3 linked regions of the Xenopus tropicalis genome follow. The protein of the gene in region 2 interacts with the protein of the main gene of each other region in a pairwise test. Links are inferred from orthologs where the notes say so. Each region holds a gene or a part of one and is shown on either strand. Other genes may lie near its edges. The genes, in order: ppp1r3d, epm2a and ppp1r3c.1.

Region 1 (3,615 bases), on a different chromosome or scaffold from region 2:
TTGTACGAGAATTATCCAGTTTGGAAAATTGTACAAAACTAGGTTTCCTACGATAAAATCAATGCATGTATGGCCGGCTTTAGACTTTGCCAACCTTGTGGGTGTCTAAATAAGCCAAGTAAATCATCCAGCAGCATCAAAAAGAGCCTTCCGTGTATGATGAGCTTACAAAGATAAAATGTCAATATTTGGGCTATTGTAGTGTCCAGCCGTGTACATTATGCAGCCTGATGCAGTAGGGAAGGTAAAACTACACAAGGTTTCCAGGTACCTTTCTCATTATAGTAAAATAAGGATGTACATAAGCAAATACTGCAGCAGGCTCTGTATTTACCTTCAGTAATTATATAGTAATTATACTGCCCTAGCTAAATGCACAACAACAGAATGTTTAGATGGGGTAATTGCTTCAGCCTCGGCTTTCATGAGAAAAAGTGCGTATTTATACCCAGCCTGAAGCGGTGAATGAATGAATGAATGTCCCAGCGCTGCAGGGGAATGGCACAATCTTATTTAGAAGAATACACACTGGCACAGAAACAAGACCCCAATTCCTTACATTACCATAACTGTGTTGTTTTCATGGTCTTTCTCGTTGTAAAACGTGGCGAGGCAAACGCTGGAAATCCTCCTAGAGATGAGACATTATCCCATTGGCTCGTTCCTATTTATAAGCTGGAATGGCACCTCCTCTCCCCATTGCCTTTACAATGCCTGTTCCAAGATGAATACAGAGGCTGCTCTATCGGCAGCTTTAATACTGCTCCCCTGGCCGTCTCCGTTGGCTACAGTCACCCTGACACTATTTCTCTTGATGTCACTGGTGAAATTTGATGTGATGGGAGTAAATAGAAGGGTTGGCTCCTCCTGTCCATCCTCGCAGGTACTGGATTGGCATGGCCGCTGCAAAGCATCATGGGTCACAACTCCCAGGCTAAAGGCACCGTTGCTCCATGTAATCCTGTTACCATTTTCATTTATAGCATGAAAGTAGCTGCGGACAGCTGCCATAAATAGATTTAAATGTCAAAAGGCATAGGCATACGTGTACGTGCAGCTGCTGTTGATGGAAAAACAGACAGTCCAAACCATTAATCCCCTTCAGGGATGAAACCCATGGCGTGCCAGTCTCCGTTCCTTGAGTGTTTTATGCCACTCACACTGATGTAGTGATCACTGCACTACATTTAATAAAATATATCAGCTTCTTCAATAAAAACAATGTATCAGCTTCTGACACGACTGCACTTGATTCCTATGGAACACACACACACACTGGTGTTTCCTCTCTCTACAACACTGCTGCTGCCTTGTCAACAAAGGGCAAGTGCAGAACTGAATGAGTGAGTGGAGTCTTGGCCAATCACAAGAATGGGCGTTCTGGTCCCTGCTGACAACGAATGACAGCAGAGGAAACCCTTTTGTATTGGCTTTACACACACAGACACAGGCAAAGGGCAGAGTGGGGGAAGCTGTGGCTCTCGCTGCGACATGCATCTGTAAGCTTGCTGCAATTATAGCACTGTGCAACAATGTCACCCAATCGCCCACATGATTGCTTGTGCCAGGCTGGGGCACAGGTTCTGATTGTTCTGCTTGCAGTGCAAGATGGGAGTGGTGAAAGGCAGCGCCAGAAGAATGCCCCTGGCAGCAGTGCCTCCCATGGACTCCTGTTGGTGACCCTGGGATTATAAAAAGGTGCGTCCGTCTTCCTGCTTTGCTAATGAGAGATTAGGGAGGCTTTGGAGTTCTGTGAAGTCAAACCTGGCAAATGAAGCTGCTGCAGGCAAGCCATTGAAAAGCAGGAGTGCTGTGTGCAATCAGAGAGTCGTCCTATACAAACATGTCTTACAAGCTCCCCCCATTCATAATGCCCCAGAGCTATAAGCAGAAAGTGGAGCTCAGCATCCCTCGCAGCCTGAGTTACATTAATAATCTGTACCAGAATGCACAGCTGGCAGAGGCATTTGGGGGACCAGGTACAAAATTCATACGGGCCGCCGAAGGGGCAAATCGGCTTCCTCGAGCCCAGAGCACCGGCTGCGATCCAGAACTGAGACCTATTATGCGGCGGAGAACCAAATCTCTGCCTAGTTCCCCAGAAAGGAAGCGTGCCATAAAATGCCAGCCCAAATGCCACAAAGTCAGGTTTGCCGACTCTCTCGGTCTGGAGTTGGCAGAGGTTAAAGTCTTCAGTTCCGCAGATGATCCATCCATCCCGCTGCATGTCCTCTCCAGGCTCTCCATCAACTCAGACCTGTGCTGCAGCCAAGAGCTACAAGTCTCCATCCAGTACCTGGAACCTGATTTCCAGCAGCCGAAAGACAGGGGCGATTTCTTGGATCGGCTGCAGCAAGAGTGCGTGTGCTTGGAGCGAGTGGCGAGTTCGGACGAGAAGGGCATCTCCGGCACCGTCTGGGTCGTCAATTTGGCCTTTGAGAAGGACCTTTCGGTCAGGTATTCGTTCACCAACTGGAAAAACTATTACGAGGCAAAGGCAGTGTGGCAGAAGAGCGCAGAGGAAAGCAGCTGGGACGTATTCACTTTCACCATTCCTATACCCCCTTTCCTCCAGCACATTTGCTCCGTGATACAGTTTGCCATCAGATATCAGGTCGCCGGCAAGGAGTACTGGGATAACAACCAGGGCAAGAACTACACCTTCACATACAGGAGCCACACTCTCCGAATGCCAAAGGACAGCGAGCAGAGCTGGATTCACTTCATCTGATCCGGCGGCACCGCCATGCTGTTCCTACTGATGCAAAAGCAAACGAGATATTCTATGGGGGGGTCAGGGAAACCTTAATACACTCAGTAAGGTATGGCTGGAAACTAGACGTGAAAGAGGCATTGGTGTTTAATGCCAAAGGGGCAAGTTACATGTAGTCCTAGGCCACAGGCCTGGAGTAAGGGGTGGACTCTTGAATTACTGGAAGAATGGGGGGAAAATTATATAAACCAATCATGTATGGCCCACAGCCCTTGATCTTTCAAGGCAAATGGGGGGAAGTAAAAAATGGGTTCTAATCTGCTTGGGGATGTTCATTCTGTTGACTGCAACCCCCAGCATCCCATCAGCAGTTGATTGACTGATGCTGGGAGCTTGCAGGCTGAACATAATATCAAAAACTTGTGGCGTCCCTTTTTACATTTTTTTTTTTAATCTACATCTTCCATTAGGGCAACCCCTGTTATACTAGGAGGCTAACCCCTGTTATACTGGGAGGCTAACCCCTGTTATACTGGAGGCTAACCACTATTATACTGGAGGCTAACCACTGTTATACTGGAGACTAACCCCTGTTATACTGGAGGCTAACCCCTGTTATACTGGATGCTAACCCCTGTTATACTGGAGGCTAACCCCTGTTATACTGGAGACTAACTCCTGTTATACTGGAGGCTAACCCCTGTTATACTGGAGGCTAACCCCTGTTATACTGGAGGCTAACCCCTGTTATACTGGAGGCTAACTCCTGTTATACTGGAGACTAACTCCTGTTATACTGGAGGCTAACCCCTGTTATACTGGAGGCTAACCCCTGTTATACTGGAGGCTAACCCCTGTTATACTGGAGGCTAACCCCTGTTATACTGGAGGCTAACAACTCT
Region 2 (4,182 bases):
TTTAGGGGTGTGTTGACAAAGTGCACATGGCCAATAAGTTTCACAGTGCTTTGTGTGGCAGATTTTAATCGTTTATACTCTCTACTTAAGCAGTCCCCTAGTTATATATTTATGTAAGTTGCAACTTTATGGGCTTTGCCAATAAATTGGTTTCCTGCAAACATGGCACCTAGTTATTGTATACCAGAACACTTGAAAATTCAGAGCTGTGTCTAAAAAATCCAGCCAAATATACTGTCCTGATAGCAATTTAACTTACATGCGATCAGTGCAGCCCTGCAACATGCATTTAGTAGACGTATCAGCACAGGCAAATGCGGATATAAACACGTGTAAGCATTAGGGTTGTCAACACCAACAAGCTGGGCTTGAAGCAGCACCCTTCAGATAGTTGCTATCCTTTATAGCTTGTTGCTCTAACCCTGAGCTCCGAAGGGATCACTTTTTACAGCTGTCTCAGAGAGGCTTCTAACTGTGCCTTAAATCCCACTGTGGAACGCACATCCGTCTTAGATTTTTTACTTGAGCCAGGCAGAGAGATAAGCAGCATGGGAGCAGCAGGCAAGCCTGTCTAGGGTTGCCACCTTTGCCGGGTGATAAACTCGGATAAAGGGAGTGTGCGTGATGACATTGGCATCTTGTGGAGCCAATATCACCATGTTATGACGTTTTTGGTAGCATGATGATGTCCACCGTACACAAACTGGAGGACTTCCACCCAGTTTTCAGAATGTTGCAAACAGGGCAGAAGGCATTTGACCCAGACAACCCCTTGAAAAAGCAGGCTGTCGGGTCAAAGCCAGAAAGATGGTTGAAGGGCCCCATAGGTTTAGGGTCCAAATCAGCAGTGTAAATCTGCCTGTGTCTGGCCATCTTTAGAGCCCCCAATGAGTGACAAACAGTTATTTCACTGATTTTTTTTTCTTTTTAATAGTAGTAAAGTACTTTCATGTAGATGAAAAAACAATCCTTATGTTTACTTAACATAAAAGGAATGGTTCTCCAAATTATGAAAAGTTCCCAAACCCCCAGGTCCCAAGCATCCTGGATAATAGATCCTACACCTATACCATAATTCAGCAGCAGTTACACTACAACTGAAGGCCCCACATATTTAGCATTTCTCTGGCAATAGTTTTTTCTTTAATTCAGTGTATCACAGTGTTCCTGTCTTAATAAAGCTTTTAGAAAAAAAAATCCTCACACAATCTGATGCCATAGGTTTTGTAGAAAAATGCAGTTGCTGCTATTTAGTTTTCAGTAAAAGCAGGTTAAGGGAACCCTTGTCCTGCTTGCGTTATTTTAAGCTGCAGATTCTGCCCTCCCTGTCTGCATCACAGAGAAGGAGGGATTAACGACTGCACAGATCTGTAATTCAGTAATGCAGACAGTGCCTTGGAAGGCTATACAAGGACGGGCAATCCTCAAGGCCTTACTAGATCTGCACACTAAGGTGAGGTTGTATTGCAGGATTTTATTCTTTCAAACTGCAACAATGAAATAATGTCTGATACAGATTAACAACACATCTATTAAGTACAGTTATAATCATTCAGAAATATACAAGGTAATAAGCTTTTGTTGCCCCCTCTTTCCTTTGACATATACTTTTGGCACACTTGTTAAAATGCATTCTGCAGATTGCAGACAAATGAGTGCAGTATCTTAATTATGGCTACTAGTCAAGTGGAAAGTATATGGTTTTATAGAGGTAAGCTTGCAACTCTAGTATTAATTGTATTGTCATTATACCTTGTTCAATAATGTCAAAACACAATTTAGAGCTATATTATTGAACTTACCTGAACCAGCCACCATTAACCATGAAACTAGCTAGCCCCTGGCATCAGAAAAAGATATGAAAAAAACATAATGTGGCTCTGAACAAATTCAGCACAATCCACTTTAATGAACTTTTCATAGGGTTCTAGGGTAAAGACACATGGAGCTACTTAGTAGCAGCTACTTGTCATGGCTACATAATGCCAGAAAATACCCTGCCATAGACAATACTGAGAATTGCCTCTGCTAAAACACATATAGAGACAATTATCAGTAAATTATCAGCATTGTCTTTTGTAGCCATAACATGTAGCTGCCACAAGTAGCTATGTGTGTCCTCACCCTTATGGTGGCCAATTGCATTACAATTATTATCTTGGTCGCAGCAAAATCATTTGTAGACTACACTAAAGCTCAGAGCTGAATCGTCAGATATGCAGGTAGAAACAAAACAATTCTACCCCCATCTTATGATTCAGTATTAAACGTTTGCCGGTTCTCAGATGTCTTCAATGGCCAGATTGACGAGATGACCGATATCCAAGGCCTTTGCCGATACCAGTCGCCTCATCTTGTCACTTACCGATTATCGTACGGTCGTGTGTATGGCCACCTTTACTTTAAAATATAACATTGTCATGTATGCATTTAATTCCCTGGGGCTCTCTGGGCCACACACAGTCAACAGTTTCCCCATTCACATTCCCTTCTTTTTACTAATACTGTTCCCCGCTCTCCACCCTACTTGTGTCCGCTGTGTAGCATGGAATAATTGCTCAGTCAGTTTCCAGAGATATCAACTAACATGTCATAGGGTGTTAGAATTATACAGATTTACAAATACTTTCTCAGGAGACGCTATTAATACATTTCTTGCACTGGTAATGCTAAAGTTGGCAGGCAGGAAAATGCAATTCCCTGTAATGCATGTGCAGTGCAGTAGAGAACTTGAGTAAGGAGGCCTTAGGGCTCTGGCACACGGGGAGATTAGTTGGCAGTGACAAATCTCCCTGTTCGCGGGCGACTAATCTTCCCGAAATACCATCCCACCGGCGAAAATGTAAATCGCCGGTGGGATGGCATTTCGGGGAGATTTGTAATCTCCCAGTGTGCCAGAGCCCTTAGTGAATCCTTGCTAATAAATAAGCTGCTGCATAGCCACAGAATAGCCATTCAAACTGGAGAAAAGGCACAAGTTACATAACAGATAAGCTCTATAGGATGGGAATCTACACAGTTTATCTGTTATCTGCTATGTAACCAGTGCCTTTTCTCTTTTTTTTTTAATTTGAATAGCTACTCCTCTTGACTACACAGCTGTTTTATTTATATAAACTACGGTAGTATTTCTGAAATCGGTGTGTTTGCTTCAAAAAGACTACTATAGTATATATATAAATCAGCTGCCATGGGGGCAACCATTTCTAGGAAAAAAAGGCTCAGGATACATCAGATATGCTATGCAGAATATAATGGTGTTCTACAAAACCTATCTGTTATCTGCTATATATCTGTGACATTTAGCCCTATTTCAGTTGCCTCCATTGCTGCATAGAAGATTTTTTTATAAACTATGGTAGTTTTTTGGAAGCAAACAGATCAGTTTTATCAGTGCAGGGCAACAGTACATTATATTTCAATTACTTTGCAACACTTTTTTATGTTGCTGTTACTTGTTAATGAAGGATTTGCCAGATCCCATGTAGTATAAAGAGGTAGCGCAGAGTGGGTAGACAGCTGGTGTTGTGTTCCACTGAAGAGTAGTAAAGCAAAGACCCATAGGCTGCCTTTTGGCAATTTGTACAACATTTAAGGTCACCAGAGTTTAGTAAGAGGCCCTAAGTTATACAAACAAGAAATGTCCCGGGTTCATTTGGAATGCAACCTTAACTGGAGATAGCTGTTGTTTTAATTTAGTTCATTGTTTTGTAGAGCGTATAGTGTCAAAGTTATTTTATATGCCATTGGAGATCTTTTTTTTTAAAAGATTTAAAAGGATATTGAGATATCCCAGGTTTAACAGGAGTGTCTCCATCCCATTAAAGGAACAGTAACACCAAAAGTAACACCAAAAGTGTTTTAAAGTAATTAAATATAATTTACTGTTACCCTGCACTGGTAAAACTAGTGTGTTTGCTCCAGGAACACTACTATTGTTTATAAAAGGCACAAGTTATATAGCAGATAACAGATAAGACACCATTGTATTCTACAGGGTTTATCTGTTATCTGCTATGTAACCTGTGCCTTTTCTCCTTTTGAATGGCTGCCCCCATGGCTACACACCAGGGTTTTTATATAAACTCTAGTAGTGTTTCTGAAGCAAACACACAACTTTAACCAGTTGAGGGCAGCAGTATATTATAGTTTAATTTCTTTAATCCATTTTCATTTTTTGGT
Region 3 (4,110 bases), on a different chromosome or scaffold from region 2:
ATAAAAAGTGTAATAATGCAAAGGGAAATGCCTAATGCATGTATATTTTACGTTTAATAGTGATTGCATACACTGAAGTCCATTTGTATGATTGATGGTAAAGGGATTATGGTTCTTACTGACCCCAATTCTGTATCAGTGGTTTTAAGCTTTATATATACTAGAAATTGCCAGCTTGTCTCCTGCATCTATGCATAAGGTCTTTTCTAGAGCTGCTGGGATTTGTAGTTTAGCATTAACCACACACTTTTTAATGTGGGCAGCTCAGTCTGCTGCAAGCAGAACTATCAGACAAAGTTGCATGGGGGCTTTCTGTGATTTCTGTTCTACTACAGAACCTGCAAAGTGCAGCACAATGGGTAAAACTTAGCCTTTGTAGGGAATGAGCAGAATACAGTGATGTCTGAGATATATGGTCAAGTGCCATCCCTTGATATAGTCGAATTGATGTGTTTAAAGAGTTGAAAGATTTCTGAAATATATACCATTATACTTGAAGGTTCTTCTGTACTGAGTTTGTTGAAGGTTAAAATGATATGTATATAAATTATTTCCATGGACATGTAGGTTCTTTGAGTTCAAGATACACAAATAATTTGCAGGACTGAGAGTCATTTATCCCAGCAAGCATGTCAAAGAATTTATTTATAAGGATTTAAAGTAGACAGTATCTTATTGTAAGCTCTTTTGGGCAGGGCCCTCTTCACCTCTTGTATCGGTTATTGATTGCTTTATATGTTACTCTGTATGTCCAATGTATGTAACCCACTTATTGTACAGCGCTGCGGAATATGTTGGCGCTTTATAAATAAATGTTAATGTAATGTAATGTAATTTCAAGCTTATTTTACAGTAATAAGTCACAGCATTATTTAATGATTGTACATGTTATTAAGTCATGACAGGCTATCAATATTAATAGAAATATTGATACTAATGATGTAGACTTCAATACCATAATATACAACTGACTGTTTTAAAATAAATAACTTTGCATACAATGAGACGTTTTTTATTTTGACAATTAAAGACCATAAGGGGGCACTGCAACGCATCTATTATCTCCTCTAGGCAGATATTCCTTTTTATGTGACGCAGTTCATGGTTTCATTACAGAATAGTTTTAAATGGGTAGCTCAGACAATATATTCTTAAATGTTTGTGAGTATGTGCACATTGTAGACCAAAAACATAATTTTATCTATGGGTTTTATCTCTTTACAGAATGATACAGATTTTGGAACCCCGCTCTCTCCCACGATCCATAATGCCTGTAGATGTGGCAGTTAGGATATGCCTAGCACATTCTCCACCGCTAAAAAAATTTCTCAGTCCCCCTGATTGCAGGGGAAGAAATTTTGTGAACCGATATAAGCCACTAAGACCATGCCTCAGTCTGAAAAAGGAATCTGATTTCAGGAGCAACGAGTGGAACCGCTCAAAGTCTAGAAACAAAAAGAAGGTCATCTTTGCTGATTCCAAAGGACTTTCCTTAACTTCGGTGCATGTCTTCTCAGAGTTTAAGGATGAATCTTCATTAGATCTTCAGTTTGACCTGATAGACCTAGAAGATATAACAGCCAGTTTAAAGCTGCATGAAGAGAAGAACTTGATACTGGGATTCACTCAGCCTTCAGCTGATTATCTGCAGTTTCGCAATCGCCTTCAGAAGAGTTTAGTCTGCCTAGAAAATTGCAGCCTTCAGGAAAGATCTGTTGCAGGTACTGTCAAAGTAAAAAACCTGAGCTACAAGAAATCTGTCAAGATTCGTATCACCTTCAACACCTGGAAATCATTTGTAGATGTTGATTGTGTCTACATGAACAACGTCTATGGAAGCACTGACAGTGACACATTTTCCTTCGTCATTGACATACCCCCCAACATTCCCAGTCATGAGAAAATCGAATTTTGTATATCCTATGAAAGTGAAGGGCAGGTCTTCTGGGACAACAATGATGGACTGAACTACTCAGTGACACGTGCAGAATGGAAATCAGATGGTGTGCACACACCTACCCCAACTAAAACAGAGATTGCATCATATGACTATAAGAAGAAACCACAAAACAATGACTTTGATCAGTTTGGCAGCCCCAGAACATCTGCTGGTCTGTACCCCGAATGGCAAAGTTGGGGTAAAATAGGAGGATCACCTTACTGGTGAAGAACATTGTTGATGTTCTGCTTTATTCATTCTCATCGAGACATCTCGGTGCTGATGAGACATCATTTGCAAACAAACAAATGAAATTCTTCAAATAAAGTAACAGTGTAAGGAAAGCTGATAGCTATATGTTCACAGCCATAGCTTAGGACAGTACGCTTTTCACAAGCACGTTGTCAAAACACCATATGTACTGCCTTTGTCCACCATAGAAATAGAGCGCTCAGTGCTGATGCCAGCTGAATCTCTGGCGTTAGTCATATACACAGAATATACATTTGTGTAAGGCTAATATGATGAGCTATAAACACAGCAGCTTGTAGTAACCCATATGAGGATAGTTCTTACAAAGAGGGCATCGGATAGAATTCAGGACACCCTAAGGATATGACAATGAAGATTTTCATTCATCCAGGTCATGGTATATCTATTATAAGTAAATACTTAGACACCCTAAGGAGTTTTGCAGATATGTGTTTTAGGATGAATTTATGGTACGAAATGGCTAACGATACAACCCCTGAAGGTTGAAAAGCTGAAAATACAAAGAGACTGTCAATGCAATACTTACATAATGATGTTTGAGTTGCTATCATGTATTTCTAGTGACCTGCCAGTAAGCGCGAAACGCACCATACACTTCGGAAAGTAGTGTTAGGTTTCATTTTAAAAGCTGGACTTTTAAAACCTTTCACAGACTCAGTTTAAATAATGTAAGATCATACAAGGTGGCTCAGAGATGTGCAACTGGTATCCTTGTAGCTGTTGTTATACTATAATTTCCACTAAATAATACAACAGCAACCAATGTATCACACTTTGGACATCCCTATCAAAATTTTTATGGATGTGACTAAAGAATGAATAATTTTGCATTGGAGGCAAGAGTACAGAAAGTCTAAATGCACTAACCAATCCAGTGCACTTTTTTTGGTAAGGGAGGGCCCTGCAATGTTGCTTTAAGCTATCCCAACAAATCTGCTTTGATGTTGTAAAAAGTGCCTTTTCTAAAAGATTGCCAAAAACCCCTTTAATACAGAATTGTAGGTTTCCTGAATATAAAATAGTCAGTAGCAATGCTGTGCCATTTAGTAAACTGCAAAACCAAACTGCATAGTTACACTACATCCCTTATATATTGTCAATTTCTGAACTATTTCCCTTCCCACTCTTGATCCCACTTGATGCTAGAGGTGTGTACAACATAGTGCCATGCAATGCATCTGTCCACTCTGGCCCACTGGGCTCTGGCAAACCTAAAACAAAGGATGTATTATATTGGAAGATTACCAGATGTCCAACATTTTAGTGTTATGTGTAAATAAGGAGCAACCTTTCAGGATAATAATACCCTCATTCTCCCTGCCCTGTAAAAAAAAATGCACTTGTTTGTAAGCAATCTGTAATATTCCCTGTCTTCTATGTTTTTTGAGATAATTACAGAAGTCAGAAAATTCAATTTCCTTCATATTGAAGGTAACGCAAATCGCTTTTGCACCTTTATATGTGAATTTGGTATTTGATAGAATTGTAGGTTCCTTAAAGGATGAAATGATTGTAGTCGATATTTTTGCACATCAGATAGTCAAACCTTATTTTCCTTCTGAAGAGTAATGACAGCTTTTTATGAAATACCTTTATGGCGCAGAGAATTATGTTTTATTTTCTCTATTCTTCCTTTTTCTCTCAATAGAAACTCTTGCACTTTTTACATGAAATAGCTGAGCAGTGTATTTTTCTATTTTGTAACTGGCTTAAATGTGTATTTTTTGATGTACAGTACCTTCGTAAGCTGACAATATTGTTTTTTGGTGTCAGAATGAAAAAAATGAGCAGCGTTCTTGACTGTGAAATGAACTGTGATGCTTTTTAAAACTGATAAAGATTAATTGGATATTGCTGTATCCAATGTGTGAAACGAAATCAGCTTTAAGGAATGATAA

Evidence for each region.
Region 1: the proteins of epm2a (region 2) and ppp1r3d interact in a two-hybrid assay, tested with the Homo sapiens proteins (2 studies listed by BioGRID, with this or other methods). The link is inferred for Xenopus tropicalis from reciprocal best matches to the Homo sapiens genes EPM2A and PPP1R3D.
Region 3: the proteins of epm2a (region 2) and ppp1r3c.1 interact in binary tests that used the Homo sapiens proteins (3 or more experiments, as listed by UniProt). The link is inferred for Xenopus tropicalis from reciprocal best matches to the Homo sapiens genes EPM2A and PPP1R3C.

What each region holds. Positions count from the first base shown.
Region 1 is NC_030686.2:3,513,428-3,517,042, reverse strand, and holds ppp1r3d (protein phosphatase 1 regulatory subunit 3D), read left to right. Parts: upstream 1-1,424; 5' UTR 1,425-1,843; coding exon 1,844-2,731; 3' UTR 2,732-3,045; downstream 3,046-3,615. Other genes in the region: protein FAM217B, read right to left, coding at 565-567. UniProt on the Homo sapiens protein: Seems to act as a glycogen-targeting subunit for PP1. PP1 is essential for cell division, and participates in the regulation of glycogen metabolism, muscle contractility and protein synthesis.
Region 2 is NC_030681.2:45,974,590-45,978,771, reverse strand, and holds the start of epm2a (laforin), read left to right. Parts: upstream 1-1,355; 5' UTR 1,356-1,453; intron 1,454-4,182. UniProt on the Homo sapiens protein: Plays an important role in preventing glycogen hyperphosphorylation and the formation of insoluble aggregates, via its activity as glycogen phosphatase, and by promoting the ubiquitination of proteins involved in glycogen metabolism via its interaction with the E3 ubiquitin ligase NHLRC1/malin.
Region 3 is NC_030683.2:37,168,062-37,172,171, reverse strand, and holds the start of ppp1r3c.1 (protein phosphatase 1 regulatory subunit 3C), read left to right. Parts: upstream 1-1,216; 5' UTR 1,217-1,225; coding exon 1,226-2,167; 3' UTR 2,168-4,110.